Rattus norvegicus: one gene and its partner. The protein of the gene in region 2 interacts with the protein of the main gene of each other region in a pairwise test. Links are inferred from orthologs where the notes say so. Each region holds a gene or a part of one and is shown on either strand. Other genes may lie near its edges.

Region 1 (4,609 bases), on a different chromosome or scaffold from region 2:
TAGTGTCCTGCCTTGGGGAAATGAGTCAAGCATGCTCACCGGCTGTCCAGGGTCATCAAGTTCACTCTCCAAGTCCTCTAGAACAGTCACTGCCTCCTCTCCGTTCTCTGGGTGATGCTCTCGAACCAAAGTCTGTAGCTCCCTGGGGAGGATGGCGACAAACTGCTCCAAAACCACCAGCTCCAGTATCTGCTCCTTCGTGTGCGTCTCCGGTCTGAGCCACAGGCGGCACAGTTCTCGGAGCTGGCTCACCGCCTCTCGCGGTCCTGGTGAATCCTGGTATCCAAACTGCCTGAACCGCTGCCGGAAAATCTCCGGGTCAGGGAGATGGTTCCAGGAAATGCTCGATCCTTCTTCACCGTCAGGATCCTCCTCTAGTTTCACTCTCAGAATTTTTTCTTCTTCATCTGGATTTGGGATGATAAGTATTGAATCTTCTTCCACTGACTGGGCAGACATCCTGTTACAATACCTCCAAGAAAAGGCAACTGAGGCAAGGTACAGACCTCAGAAATACCCTGTTTTCCTCAAAAGTACTCCTAAGGTACAAGAAATAAAAAACACATAAATCACCAAGTACCCCATGATATTCGAAAAGCAGAAGGAAAAAAAAAGAGATACATTGCTTTACTTGATTAAAACTTGAAATCAATAACTTACACTGACTGAAAGTCTGCCATAGCTGGTAAACCACAGCCTATTTACCCTGCTGCCTGCTACACCATCCGTAGAGAAGTAGTGTAAACGTTTTAATGACTAAAAAAGTACAGAAATACTTCATGCTGAGAAAATATGATGTGTCTGTCTAGGACCAGCAAGGTTACTCATCTGGCAAAGGCCTGATGACTTGAGTCCAATGACCAACATGTACATAAGAGAAAAATTATTTCTGCAAGTCTGGTCTTCACAAGTGGGACAGACAGACACACACACAGAGACAGACAGACAAACACACACACAAGATGTAAAAATGTCTTTAAAAATGGTTTATGTACACTGTTTTTGCTTGCATGTATGTCTGTGTGAGGATGTCAGACCCCTTAGAACTGGAGTTAGAGACAGTTGTGAGCTGCCATGTGGGTGCTGGGAATTGAACTTGGGTCCTCTGGAAGAGCAGCCAGTGCTCTTAACCACTGAGCCATCTCTCCAGCCCCATTAATATGTTTACATTTTGTGTATATAAGTCATTAAATTTAATCGTGGTTTGGGCTATAATGTGGTAGAGTTGACAGTATTCAATGATTTCAGCTAAGATCTAAAACAATGTAATATTTACCAGCTTGCTCTTTTTAGGAAAAAAAAAAGATTGCTAATTTGTGACATATAGTCTACAAAGGGTAATTTAATAGCCTACAGTATCTGGGTAAGATGCAGTCTACCTCAGTGTTCTCCAAACGTCCTGAAGCTTGGGACTGGAGAGTTGGTTCAGCAGTTAAGAATGCATTCCCCTGCAGTGGACCCTGGTTTGTTTCCCTGAACCACAAACTCCTCTCTCTTCTCACCTCCTCAGGCACCAGGCAAACACACAGTGCAAATATACATAAAATAACAAACTAAGTATTCAGAACAGTAGGACACATAAAACATGTTTTTTGACATTTATTTCGTGTTGGAACACATCAGCACAGGTGTGGAGGTCAGGGGACATTAGTTCCCTCCTGCTATGTGCAATCTGGGATCTTGGGAACAAGCCCCCGACCTGATGAGGCACCCTACTTTTCATTTTTTGCAAACCTGGAGTAGGAAATAGATCAACCGTTCTCCCAGTTAGAATCCCCCAGAATGAGAGACTATCCTTACCCATCATGCTCTACTGCTGAGCTAATCCCCAGAATTGTCACAAATACTCTAATGTTTGTTTAGGAACTCCCTAAACTTAAAATATATGCGAAAAATGTTCACTAGTAGATAGGTATGCGCCCAAAAGCCCAACATTGTAGGCTTTACATGCAGAAGCAAGATTATGGTCATCCATGTGGCAAAGCCAACCTGGGCTATTAGATCTTGTCACAGACTTTCTTTTACACAGTTCAGTAACAGATCATATAACACTGGGGAAGGAACTATTTCACATAACATACAAATGTTACTCAGGCTTCCACCACACCATACATACATTTAAACTTACAGTGACAAGCTTCAACCACAGCAAATTCTATTAGGAAAAAGCACTCACAACTTCTCAGTGTACGGGAGTCTTTTCCCTGATGAAGCTTCCCCTAACTTTTCCTTTGGGGAAATCTGAGCTACTTTCTGATGCTTTTGGAATTTGCAAAATCATAGCCGTGCCACGGTTTACAGCACATAAAGAATAATAAGTTTACGGCTACTGTTTATTAGAGCCAAGAACTTAAGAGACAGAAACTTAAGAAAACCATATTGAAACCGATCAAGATGAAGACAAAAGATCAGAAAAGGCTGTCTCAAACTGACAGGTCATATAGACACTCAGGAGTGGGATGGCCTGATATCAAAATCTAAGTTCTTATTCCTGGACCCGATTCTATCAGCAATCAAGCATTTCTATGTGATAGAAACTGCTTTTTCTTTTACTTTGTACTGCACCAAGCTCGTGGGATGTGGAGGAACGCCGTCCGGCACTCGGCGGGATCCTGGTCTTCAGCGACCGCCCGCCTCACAGCGCTGAGCCCAGCCTGCCCCAGCAACTCGGACGTCCTCTTCCCAGCATTCACCAGGAAGGGCTGCAGAAGCCCCAGAACCACCCCGCCACACAGGACAGGCACTTCCGCCCGGGACCGGCGGGACTACAAATCCCAGCAGGTCGCGCGCGAGAACGGCCGGATCCCCCCTCGGCTTGAGCGTCTCCCAGAATCCTCCGCGAGCCGCTAGAGCCTCGAAATAGAACAAAACCGGCCCGTGGGGGAGGGGAAAGCAGGCCGGAGAGGATGCGGGCGCTGGAGGCTCTGCGGACCCCCGAAGTGCCGCAGGTCGCCGCCGCCCTTCCGCCGCCGCGGCCTTTTATGCGCACGCCCGGAATGCTGAGCGTCGCCGGCCTCTGGACCCTTACCTGAGCCCCCGCCTCCTCGAACCCTACCCCCGCGCGCTGCTGACCTCTGGCTCGGGACCCGCCACAGCCTCGTCGTCCCGGGCAGACGCTGCGCCGCCGCTTTCAGCCGCTTCCCACAAGCCCCCGGCGCGCACGGCTTCCGGTCCGCAGGACGGGGGGGGGGGCGGGAGGGAATGGGGAAGCCGAAGCCCGGAGTTGCCATGGGGACGCGCGGTGAGCGGGGGAGGTGCCGCTTGATGACAATGGCCGCATTGAGGCTGCGCTTGGCCTTGCGCCTCTCACTGAGTGACTGTTGCTCTCTGTTCCACTTTAGAGAAAGGAAAGGGGAGCAGGAGGAACGTGGGCGGCAGTTTCACAAGTGCCCGGTGCTCCTCGCCGGAGCCCTCTGGAGTAACTAGCTTACTCCAGAGTTCTGAAACGTTCTGAAAACGTGCCATGATCGTGTCAGGCACCGTCGCTGTACAATACGTGTAAATCGTTTTTCTTTACCCGCACATCTTTACTTATTGAGCCTTTGGCCCTGAAACAAGGTTTGCCTCTAAACATGCCCCAAACCATTGTCTTCCACTACTGTGTTTCAAAGATTATGACAGATTATCAAAGAAACAAGATAGTTGAGACCTTTGTCACAGAGAATTGCAGAATATACTCATGCTGGTTGTTTGATGCCAAAAAAAGAGCTGCAGTCATAATCACTTAGATTGCCTCATTTCCCTATTTAAAGTGGATTTCAGCTACCTCAACTACCTTGACATTAAATAATTGTTACGTTGTTCTGTAGGCCATCTCTGGTCTGTTGCCTGCCTTTGCCTTCTGACCATGCGTGACTTGGACTTATTGTACAGCCTCAGCCTCACTGACCAATGAACGCCCTTTCCTCCAGGTGGCCTCAAGATGCTTGTGGACACTCTGAGAAGTGATCGCATTACTTAGCTGTGCTTTGTTTGAAAGTCTTGTAAAAAGTTGGGTCCTCCCTGTCCCTAGTTTCAGGATGCTGGCTGGTACATAGAAAACTCAGTAAGCACACTTTGAATAAATGCATCAATTGTGGGCTGGTCACATTGCCTGCGGCCTTTGCTAGGTCACATGTCAAGTCTCGGAAATCGCACAAAAGAGCTCTGTTTTGGAAAAAGTCTTGTTAGAAGCAAAGGTCAAGTTTGCAGAACACTTAAAGGATCCTCAAGCCTTGCCCTATTGTCTCATTCAGAAGGGCCTCTGCAAAGTGTCCTGGGCCTCTGCAAAGTGTCCTCGGCCTCTGCTTGTTAGTGAATGAGAGAGCAGTAAACAAGCAGCTCACAGAATAGCAAGACTTCCCATTCCAGCCAGAGCTCACCTTCCCACAACCCCTGTAACTTTTCACTCTTCACTGTGAGGTTTTAGTACAGCCTTCCCCCATCTCCTGTTTGGCTGTAGACAGGATCCGGCTTGGCTGTTCTCTGCAACCTTTTTGTCTATTGTGATTCCGAAGAGCTAACTCAAAGCATACTTTGTTTTGTTTCTTTAAGAGATTTTATAGCAAGTTAATACTGAAAAACATAATAAACCCACTCAAGTAAAAAATGTGACATTTTGTAATTTGCT
Region 2 (4,329 bases):
TACCAGCCAACTTTGAAAAGGAAGAATTTGCACTTAGCTAGAACAAAGCCCTCCAGAATTAAGATGATCCGAAGGGATCACCAACTGCATGGTGAAGGAAATCTCTGTGCATGAGTTCTGGCTTCCTGTGCACATGATACCTTTGCACAAGCCTAGGCAAGGGCTGACCTGCATCTGGAGATGCGATGGTGAAGATCCAAGCTGGCTTCGAGCAAGCACTCGGTGAGGCCGCTGGCAAGAGAGTGAGATACAGGAGAACGAGACATGCCGGTCTGAGGACAGATATGGACAGGACCAGACTCTGACTCAGTTTACCTTTCTATAATTAATGACATGCCATTCTCTCTGGTGAACAATTCAAGCCAAAGACTGAATGAGATTTACCTTAAGTTAATATTTGATATCCTTCTACCAGCCTGTCCTAAATAGGACACCTGAGTGTCCCTTTAGCTTTGATTTCTGGTAAAATTTCTCAAAAATTTCCCAGACAGAGGGGAAATGTTCCACAGACATTTCCCACAGGGCTTGCCCATCTTCAGTTACAGCCTTCCTTTTCTGGGCACATTCTGTAGGACGGATGAACTACTAGAGGACCTCATGAACTGGGTGCTCACTATTACAGCTGTGAGATACCTTTCAGGTTTCTAGTCTGGGGCAAAAAAGACACAAACTTTAGTCAGAGTGAACTTCCTTTACAGAACCCAATCCTCAGGCTGGAGAGAAGGCTTGGCAGTTAAGGATGTTTTCTGTTCTCCCAAAGGACCCAGGAGTCTCCACAAGCAAAACAGGTGAGTGCTAGTATCTGTGACTCCTGTTCTAGGAGACTCATCACCTCTAGCCTCCAGAGCACCTGCGCTCAGGTGCACACACACATCCATGCAGTTAGTATTTTTTTTTAAGGTACCAAACTCTGTAGACTCAATGTCTAATATAGGATTCATAGTGAAATTGTGCTGATAGGAAAGCAGTAAACACCAGTTCGCCAGACCCACTCCCTTACTGTGTAATCTTATGTCTCGTCCAATCTCTGAAAACTCGGGGCTCAGATGTAATTTTAAATGTATTTTTAAAAGGGAACAAGCTACAGACACCGACTCTTTTTTTTAAAGGGTTGTTGTTTTTCCTGAGATTTTAAGGAAGCTGGTCTTTATGTCAACAAACCTAGCTCCTTTCTGAGCTGTGTGTCTTAACCTTCAAGACTGAAGAGTGATGTTTATATTCTCGTTGGATCGTGGGACTTCCTGTATTTTATGAGAACACGCTGGGTTTTTATGCTGCTGACTGAGGGTAAAGCCCAGGTAAATAAACACCACACAAGACTGAAATTGAAGGGGGGGAGGCGAGTAGGAAAACTTCAGCAGGAAAGCACAATTCTTTTAAAGCAGGAAAAGAAAAGGAGGAAAAAACCCCACCAAAACAAATGCGTCTTAAAAGCCCAAATGGACAAGTCATTAACCAGCTCCTTTGGTCTTGTGTTAACAAATCCCTTCAAAGGATTAGATGAGGACTTCAAAGGAATAAAAACTCAAAACCAGACAGCTAATGATTCTTAAAAGGGCATTTGTGTGGACATGAAAAAAAAAAACCCAACAAAAAACAAAACAAAAAAAACCCCCAACACCTTCATTCTTGGCTCCCCTTGTTAAATCTAGAGAATGGGCTAGGGTACAGGCTGTGGAATGGGGGTGTTCTTTGCAAACCAGCGCAAAGCTCAGAGCATAAGACAGTACATACTCATACAACTCTTGGTTCGCTGACCCCAAGCCCTTCTGAAAGTTTGATGAGATTCTGTTCCCTAGGAAAACACACTGGAACAAAAAAAAAAAAAAAAAAGAACCAACTTTCGAGGTTCACATGCCCACAATAGGAGACTCATGGGAGGGGTGAACATGCACCCGGAGGAACTCCGGATTAGCAATTCTAGAAGTCTCTGGAGGCCAGAACCAGTCCCCAGATGGACAGGCGGACCTCATCGACTATCTGCTCTACTCCGGGCCTGGCAGTAGACTGTCAGAGACACCAGGGACGTTCTGGTTGGGATGCCCCTCTTTCCAAAGCCAAATAGACAAAAAGGAAGGGAATCTGGAGAGGGTGGGACGAAAGGGGAGAAGGCAGAATCTCGTCCTCCACTTTCCCTGCCCTGCACCTGTGCCTCGGAGCTCCGGGTGCCTGCTCCTGGGCAAACTTTCTGGCCCTTGTGAAGGTTTGGGGAGCTTTCTAGATAGCCCGGAGCGGTCCGCGGGGTTGATCCCAGTTTACAGCTTCCTCCAGTTCCGCCCAGCCCCTCTCGGTGTCTCCAGAGTCACCCGCGAGGAAAGAGAACCCCTGCGACACCGAGGGACCAAGGGCATGCTGCGGGCGCGCACCTGAAGTCAGCCCCTCGCGCCTTGCCTGGGACCCGGTGTGGGGTGCGGGGAGAGAAGCGCCACACTTACTCAGACGGGTCCAGGCTCTTCCTTTCGATGGCCGAGGACATTGGGGAGGGGGGAGGCGTGCCGGGCGGCGGGGGCGCTCCCTTTGTGGCGCGTGGCTGGCTAGCTGCCTGGACTCGGACCCCCTCGGGTGCTCGGGCGCCGCCGCTCCTGCGCCTCCTCTTGCTCGGTCGCTCGGCCGGCGAGCTCGCCCCTCCACGCTCAAGGACAGTCACCGCGCTCCCTTCAAACGCCAAAGAGAGAGAGCGAATCACCCAGCTGCCCCGCGCGCGGCGGCCGAGGCAGGGGGCCGGGGAGCAGCCCGGCCTCCCTCCGGCGGCTGCGACAGCTGCCGCTGCTCAAGACTTAACCTTCCATCCCGGTCCCGCTGCCGTCACCACAGCCGCCGCCGCCGCCGCCCGGTCCCGATCGCGCGCAGTCGCCGGCTCCGCCCGGCCGCCCCGAACCCCTCGCACCTTCGCTGGGGTCGGGGCGCCGAGGGCAGAGAGGGGGCGGCGGCCTGGGGGCGGGGAGCGGACCGCGCGGCTCTCCCGGGGCTCCCTCCTCTCTCGCGAAGGTCTATTTTCGCTCAGCTTCCCTCTGTCTCTGGTTTCATTTCCTTTTTCCTGATCACGATTCAAATACAATAGAAGGAAATCACATTTAAAGAGACAGCTGCCCGCCCCCTCCCCCTTTTTTTCTTCCTTTAAAAAAAAAAAAACGGGGCTCCTGGGGATTAGGAATCCAAACAGCAGCGGCGGCAGCAGCAGCAGCGGCGACGGCGGCAGCCCCGACTTGGCTTCTTAAAGGGACCCGTGGCAGAGACCGAGAGTCTTCCCTGAGCACCACTCCTGGGGCAAGAAGCCCGCTGCCACTAAACCGTCCTTTTCAGAGTTCCCCTTCTGCCCTTTCCCTTTGGTTTCAGGCTGAAAGTAACCACCTGGCGGTTCCAGCAGGAAAGAAATGCAAGCGTTGCTAGTGGCTGGCTAGCGAGCGCTCGTCTCGGGTTCGAGGTCCCAAGACCACGGTCGTGGTGCTCTACGAAGCCTGAGACAGTGCGGCTCTGCTGGCAGCAAGCTCGTAGCTGCGACTGCGCTCCAGAGAGGGGACGCAAGCTGTATGACCAGGGACCTCACGCGCTAGGTGCGCCTGAGCAGAGCTGGGGGCAGCTAATCCCGCAGGGAGGGTGGCTGGGAGGGACCACGTTGTCCGGGTCTCCTCTCCATCTGCTGGCGGCAGAATTCCCTCCCTCAGCATCTTTCAAAGAGCGAACTCCAGCGGTTAGGCTGGCCCTCTCTGCAAAGTATCAGCAATACTTGGACCGGAGGAAGTTCCTTGCCAATAATCAAGAACCTTACAGTTGTTACTTACTATTATTTTGCCCTATATAAAGCAAAGAAAAGGACAGGTTTCTCCTTCAGGCTTGAAGGCAAGTTCTAGAAGGACAAAGAAATGCAGAAGGGAAAGAAGAGGACTCTAGCTAGCTAGTTTTGCAGGGAGAAAAACCTAGGTTCTCCCGGGCCTCGAGTTCCTTGAAACTGAGTTCAGAAATGATCGTTCAAGTCCCGTTAGCTTATGATGAGGACAGTCTTCAGGTTTGTGAAGAGGAAAATTCCGAGTGCCTTCAGAATCCATCGTTAGTAAGAACAGCCTGGATCAAGGACGTAGGCATTTCAGTCCCATTTTAAAGACGGCTTTAATAGCCTGAAGATGATTGTTGAAGTCAGAACAGAAATCCTGGGTTCCTGGTACAGAGCAAAATCCTCACTGATTTCTCCTTAGCACTAACCTGAACCACACCCACAGATTCCTGTCATTTTCTTGCCTCCACGTCCTGAAATTTATACTGAAGGGGAATAATTAAAATCTGTGTCTGTGCGCATACCCTCGGGTTGGTCCAAAACCCACCTCCAGTATA

Evidence for each region.
Region 1: the proteins of Lmo2 (region 2) and Zfp24 interact in binary tests that used the Homo sapiens proteins (3 or more experiments, as listed by UniProt). The two-hybrid records come from large-scale screens. The link is inferred for Rattus norvegicus from reciprocal best matches to the Homo sapiens genes LMO2 and ZNF24.

What each region holds. Positions count from the first base shown.
Region 1 is NC_086036.1:15,578,862-15,583,470, forward strand, and holds the start of Zfp24 (zinc finger protein 24), read right to left. Parts: upstream 3,101-4,609; 5' UTR 3,029-3,100; intron 2,975-3,028; exon of another isoform or gene 2,554-2,974; intron 540-2,553; 5' UTR 460-539; coding exon 40-459; intron 1-39. UniProt on the Homo sapiens protein: Transcription factor required for myelination of differentiated oligodendrocytes. Required for the conversion of oligodendrocytes from the premyelinating to the myelinating state.
Region 2 is NC_086021.1:110,820,134-110,824,462, reverse strand, and holds the start of Lmo2 (rhombotin-2), read right to left. Parts: upstream 3,011-4,329; 5' UTR 2,790-3,010; coding exon 2,783-2,789; intron 2,656-2,782; coding exon 2,436-2,655; intron 1-2,435. UniProt on the Homo sapiens protein: Acts with TAL1/SCL to regulate red blood cell development. Also acts with LDB1 to maintain erythroid precursors in an immature state.